Oryzias latipes: one gene and its partner. The protein of the gene in region 1 purifies or fractionates together with the protein of each later gene. This does not show direct contact. Links are inferred from orthologs where the notes say so. Each region holds a gene or a part of one and is shown on either strand. Other genes may lie near its edges.

The links. Proteins that work in one complex are often made in the same cells at the same time.
Region 2: the proteins of drg1 (region 1) and ntmt1 purify together in Homo sapiens (affinity purification with mass spectrometry; 3 studies listed by BioGRID and IntAct, counting the BioPlex papers as one, with this or other methods). This does not show direct contact. The link is inferred for Oryzias latipes from reciprocal best matches to the Homo sapiens genes DRG1 and NTMT1.

The regions. Positions count from the first base shown.
Region 1 is NC_019870.2:14,587,004-14,589,866, reverse strand, and holds part of drg1 (developmentally-regulated GTP-binding protein 1), read left to right. Parts: exon of another isoform or gene 1-21; intron 22-136; coding exon 137-260; intron 261-372; coding exon 373-548; intron 549-648; coding exon 649-718; intron 719-1,086; coding exon 1,087-1,256; intron 1,257-1,713; coding exon 1,714-1,844; intron 1,845-2,214; coding exon 2,215-2,382; intron 2,383-2,498; coding exon 2,499-2,621; intron 2,622-2,863. UniProt on the Homo sapiens protein: Catalyzes the conversion of GTP to GDP through hydrolysis of the gamma-phosphate bond in GTP. Appears to have an intrinsic GTPase activity that is stimulated by ZC3H15/DFRP1 binding likely by increasing the affinity for the potassium ions.
Region 2 is NC_019870.2:30,133,428-30,137,183, reverse strand, and holds the start of ntmt1 (N-terminal Xaa-Pro-Lys N-methyltransferase 1), read right to left. Parts: upstream 2,796-3,756; 5' UTR 2,721-2,795; intron 2,324-2,720; 5' UTR 2,229-2,323; intron 1-2,228. UniProt on the Homo sapiens protein: Distributive alpha-N-methyltransferase that methylates the N-terminus of target proteins containing the N-terminal motif [Ala/Gly/Pro/Ser]-Pro-Lys when the initiator Met is cleaved.

The DNA of each region.
Region 1 (2,863 bases):
GGATGTGTATAAAAAAACAATGTATGTCCTGTATATTTACTCTTGCATTTAAACAAAAATATCACTTTTATTTAAAGACAACCTGGGAATTTTGCATTCAAACTATAATGCAAACTGGTGTCGTTGTATCCCATAGATGGCCAGAACTCAGAAGAACAAGGCCACAGCTCACCACTTGGGTCTGCTCAAAGCACGCCTTGCCAAACTGAGGAGGGAGCTCATCACACCAAAAGGAGGCAGTGGGGGTGGAACCGGGGAAGGTGTGATTAAAAGCTTCAAATTTAATCTAGTTAATTTTTGAACAAAATGTAAACATTTGTCTTATGTTTACCTTTGCTGTCCAGTTGATTGTGACTTATCTGTGGCTTTCAGGCTTTGATGTCGCAAAGACAGGAGACGCTCGTGTCGGCTTTGTTGGTTTTCCTTCAGTCGGAAAGTCAACACTGCTGAGTAATCTTGCAGGTGTTTATTCTGAGGTTGCTGCCTATGAGTTCACCACCCTTACAACAGTACCTGGTGTCATTCGGTACAAAGGTGCCAAAATTCAGGTACTAGAATCTCAATATTTGTTTCACTGTTTCCAGAAAAAAAATAAGAAGTCGGAGTGATTGGTTTGCAGTGAGTTTGTATTTTCCTTTTTCTTTTCAGCTTCTGGATCTCCCAGGAATCATTGAGGGAGCCAAAGATGGCAAGGGCAGAGGCAGACAGGTTATTGCAGGTGTGCTCATTGTGCTTCTGTGCCACAACTAGACTATAAGAAATACTACTGTGAAAATGGAGCGATCCCTCACTCATATAGGCTTCAAATTTCATGTTAAAAATGTTCTATTATCTGCAAAATTATCTTGCAAATGTAACATATTCAAAATATTTTTTTATATTTTACTTTAAAAACTGCTTTCCTGTTTTTATTTTATTTGTTGTTTTTCTGCAGGAACACTAAGCATTTGATTTAATTTCCACCAAATTAATTTATTGTGTAAAATTAATAACCCCCCATGATATTTTATAGAATTTTTTACTCCTGCTGCACAAACTAAAAGGTCTTTCTTTTCTGCTCGCCGTTGTCTTTCCTTTGTCTTTTAGTGGCTCGAACCTGCAATCTAATCCTAATAGTGCTGGATGTGTTGAAGCCTCTTGTTCATAAGAAGCTAATAGAACACGAGCTGGAGGGCTTTGGAATCCGACTTAACAAACAACCACCCAACATCGGATTCAAGAAGAAGGACAAAGGAGGCATTAACTTTACCACCACAGTATGTCACGCGCAGCACACCAGGGCTTCACATTTACTGATGCCACCTTTCCTAAACAGTAGAGTAAAAAAGAAGTGCAGTGTTAAAATATAGATCACTTATTAATGAATGAATGAATATTTTAATCATTTTGTAATTTTTGATTTATTCTTGCACTCCAATGGGATGTATCTGAAATGATGTTGCAAAGTCAAAACATTTTGTACCAAAATGTTGGTATTTTTTAATTCCTGCACCAAAGCAAGAATTTCTCCATATATTTAAATTTACTTCTGATTTTAAATGCTTTAAATCAATAGAAATGTATTTTCTAAATGCTAGTTTGTGCCTATATGATTCTGTCTTTTTATGTTATTAAATCATTCTTTAGTGTTTTTTTTATTTTATTTAATTCAATATTTCTTTCCATCGCACAGCTCAAAGTCTTTGTCTTTTTTCTCTGTCTGTCCGTCATTAGTGTCCACAAACTGAGCTCGATTCTGAAACAGTTAAGAGCATCCTGGCCGAATACAAGATCCATAACGCGGATATCACTCTGCGTGCCGACTGCACCGCTGATGACCTCATCGATGTGGTGGAGGGAAATCGGTAAGCCTCTGAAGTGCCACAGCGCTCCTCAGTCATTCCCTGTGGGTGTGGCCATTAAGAATTCACATGTGAACCCCCTGACACTAGTGCAGGTGTATTAAAAAAAGAAAAAACTAAGCTGCAGGATCCAGCTTTCATACCTTCTGCTGACTCAAAAGTCTAGATTTACAAGAACAGATAAAATCTTTTTTTATTTGTTTAAAAAAGCATTGTGTGCTGTGTTAAGTGGGTTGTATGTTTGTGATTTATGACTGCACACACCAGGACTGCATTCATCTAGTTTATAATTTATTAGTATTAAAAGAAACTGTAAAAACAGTTTTCTTGCAGCTTTCCAGACATTTACTCCCGTTTGTCCTTGTCTCAACAGGGTCTACATCCCGTGCATTTATGTCTTAAATAAAATTGACCAGATCTCAATTGAAGAGCTGGATGTCATTTACAAGGTCCCACACTGTGTCCCCATCTCAGCCCACCACCGCTGGAATTTTGATGACCTGTTGGAGAAGATGTGGGATTACCTTAAGCTTGTGCGCATGTAAGTGAGGCTCTGACTTCAAAGGGTCCTCTGGGATTGAAATAGCTAATCTAGCAGGAACTATATGTTTATTACTGAACATTTTAACTAACTGATAATAATTTGCTTTTTTGCAGCTACACCAAACCCAAAGGACAACTTCCCGATTACACATCTCCCGTCGTGCTCCCTGACGGACGAACCTCCGTTGAGGATTTCTGCTTAAAGATTCACAAAAACCTCATCAAAGAGTTGAAGTAGTGAGTATTGTTGCACAAGCTAAAGATTCTGATGCAAAATTAGCTGTGTCTGTGTCACTTGGGAACATTGAAGAGGTCTCAGTTAATTTAGAAGAAGAAATAAAAATCCCATATGTCACGTTTCCCTGCTGAGGAGTTAAAGTACAACATGTTCTCTCTGGACAATGCATTTATGAAGTCCATTTCTCTGGGCCTGGCACTGATACATACACTACGGTTAAATGAGTTATTCCCCAAAGAAC
Region 2 (3,756 bases), about 16 Mb from region 1:
GGTAATTGTAAAGTAAACATAAAATCATAAGGATCATGAATACATAAAATTCAATGGGAAAATTCTAAACTGAACTAAACAGACTAAACTACACTGGGCATCTCTGCCCTTAGAACCCCCCTCTCTGTAAGGAAAAGCTCCTAAAACAAATACGGATTCTGGAAAAAAAGAAGAAACCTCAGGGGTGTCCACATGAAGGAGGGATCCTCCCCCAGGACGGACGCACTAGAAGTCAGTTTACAATTTGGAAGAACCTATTGGGAACCTAATATATTGTGTGAAACTTGAAACAGAAATGTTTAAGTCCCGCTCCAATCATCTTTTGATATGTGGTAAAAGTATTCCCTGTAGTATTTTAATAGCATTATGCCTTTTTTTTCATCCAAAGTAAAAAAGCTGCGTTTTGAGGACATAGTTTCTGCAGAGTGGCAGGCGTTCTTTGGAAATTCGCTTTGGTGGGCACAGGCGCACAGATTGGCATATGGACGCACAAAGGCGCACGCAGCGTTCTTCTCTAAAGAAGCATCAAACCCAAACCTTTTCATTCTCACAAAGCACCGAGCCCCGGTGGGTGTGCTCCAGTGACAAATCAACAAACAAGCCAGAGTAGGGACCACAACCATTCAGCCTACAACAACCGTTCGGGGTCCTTCGACTAGTGCTGACGTCCCATTATGTGATTGGCTGTTTGTTGGTCTGATGACGTGTCAGATAGTGATTAGTCTGGACAAATTATGATACTACCATAGGAGAAGATATTATGAAGTCTGTTGTAAACAAGCAGAGCTCCGACACAGAGTAAGAGTATCTTCTAAATGTGCTTTTATTATGATTATTATTAAGTGCATTGCAGCCGAGCGGACTGCGGTCTGAACCCTTCTCCGGACCGAACACTGTAACAAAGAACCATCCCTGCCTGCAAACACGAAGCTACGAGACTGCAGCTGCTCAGACACACGGTTCTCTGTGGAGCAGCAGGTTCATTCTAACAGCCACAGATCTTTTTACAAAGTGGGTTGTGGTAAAATCTCTCCTGAAACATTACAAAGAATAATGTCAGACACAACTTACAAAGGAAAAGAACTTTATAATACAAAAGGAAACGTGAAATGTAAATATGTAGAGCCCGAGCAGATGTGGACGCTATGTAGTTTGTCCAAGTGGGGCCACCGTAGTGTGACGTTATCATCAGTCCAAAGGACCCCGAACGGTTATTGCAGGCCGAATGGTTACGGTACTTACACTGAGCTGGATATTACAGCATGATGGCTGATTTAACTGGTATCTACGATGTAATTATTTACTTTTTTAAAGTAAGATTCCCAACACTGTTTATCACTAGTTTTAATATTTAGTTTCCTGTTGTAACTTAGAAAAAACATTTGTGATTTGAACAAAGATCATTTCTTAAAAAATGTTCAAGTTGTGAATAAATAACCTCAAGTAGAAATAAACATTAGGGCTTTGATAAAAAGTCGATCCTTTAACCCTTGTGCTATCTTAGATGACCCCCCCCCCTTCCATTGAGGTGTTCTCCCTACCATGACAAAGGTGGATAAAGGTGGAAAGATTTCATGTAATCCATGGACACCAGTGAAGATCACAAATCATTGAAGAAAAAAGGTTCAGAGCACTGTCTAGTGGGTCTAGATGACCCAGTCCCAATGGTAAAGTGCCTAGGATAGAACAAGGGTTAATAAACACAGGGAACAACTGTTTTATATTGAAATACACAGAAGATCTTTCCAAAGAATATGTTTGGCCAGTGGAAGTCTAATTTGGCTGGTAAACTTTGGATGTCACAGACCATACTGGCAGGTATTTAGTGGCATTTCTTTGTGGGCGGCACGGTGGTGGAGTGGTAAGCGCTCTTTCCTCACAACAAGGAGGTTCAAGTCCGGGCTGGGGGACCTAAACCCTCTCTGTGTGGAGTTTGCATTGCGTTCTCCCCGTGCATGTGTGCTTTTTCTCCAGCTTCCTCCCCCCATCCAAAAACATGCTTCATAGGTTAATTGGTTAATCTAACTTGTTGTGAGTGTGTGGGTGTGTGATTGCAGACACTCTAGCCTGTGAGACAGGTGACCTGTACAGGGTGTCCCCTGCCTTTGCCCACAAGTGGCCGCGATAGGCCCCAGCAGCCCCGTGACCCCAAAAGGGATCAAACGGAAGAAGATGGATGAAATCATTTCTTTGCATTTGCAGAGTTTCTCGTCTTTTTGCACACTTACTTTGCTTTGCTGCAATTGAGGGTCTCAGCCAGCGTATGATCAGCTCTACAGTCCGTCCCAAGAGCTACGGCCTCACTCGTGTGTGTGAATCATCACTGTTGATGAAGGTGGAAGACCATTACTACATAAGTATTTGGAATTTGGCGGTCATCTCAACTTCTTATAAGTAGGTCAAGCAGCACCGAAAGCTGGGCTTTAAGTAAAACTTCTCTGTCCAATTTTCACGTCAGAACTTTGTTGCAGATCTTCTTTGTCCAAAGAATTTTGTCTGGGAAACAGATCTCTGACTGGGCCTACATGCAGAACAGCAGTTTGGAGGACCCAGCCTTCTCAAGGTCTTTTGGAGGAGCACTAAAGAGGGGCACTGTTGATGGGAGACTCTGTCTGGCAGCTGAAAGGGAGCGATGGAAGGAATGGCCTCCCTGATCTACCTGAAGATGTTGTTGGATATGTGTACTCGTCACAGATTTACGCTTGCAATGTTTTCTGTACCTGTTTAACTTCAACTGATGATATTGTTGGGTGGTGGGAGAAATATTTTGAGGCTCTCTTTAACCCTTTTGACACACCATCTGTTGAAGAAGCAGAAACTGTGGACTCTGGGGTGGGGGCTGTAGCCGTAAAACACACTTCTGAACATCTCACCTGTTCATAACGTTGTGGTCATATTCCATGAAAGCTGCACAGCAATGACCACGTTAACACAATGACCCTGCTGCATGCCGCTGTGCTGCTCCCCTGTGGCCTGATCAGCGTATCGCAGTCCAAGATCTTTGGACATCAGGCCTTCCAACGACCTGTGGAGGAAGTGTTCCCAATTATACAAGATGATCTGAAGGTGAGGGAACAGGCGCCGTCAAATGGTGTTACAGTTTTTCTCAGTCGCTTTAGTACAATTCTCAGATCAGAATTGAAGTTTGCAAATACGTGTGTGCATTTCTCAAAACAATTTGTACAAACAGCAAAACACTATGGATTTCTTGCAAAAGCCTGTAACTTGGTCAAAATCTTTAGTTCATCTCTCAAAACTAAGTCTTTATGTCATTGAACATGTCAGTGCCATCAGAATGTCAAGTCCTTGTGTCATTGTCTATGAACAAGACAGTCAAATGACTTAGTCATGTTGTCAATATAACTGTGTACTTTAGAGGGAGGTTCTGATGGAAACTATGGCTAAAGTTTGGATGACAATTATTGTAAAATGGAAGTTAAACCTTTTTTGTTTGATTGCAAGAGACTGGACAAGATTCACATTTACACTTTCATTGTTCATATTGTAATTTGTTGACAGACCATGTCACACCAACATAGAAAAAACCCACTGCAAACAGTAACACAAAGGGAAAAAAAAGATAGGACAATATTCTGTACAACAGTCCAGGCAGTGCAGTAGGAATTGGTGTGGTCTCCCTACACCTCTTGTCGTTCCTGTATGTTAGGCCACAAATTCTCATCCACATCACAGCGAATATCCTCTCTTGCAATGCAGCCAAATATGTTTGTCACATTGTGACAACTTGGTCAACCA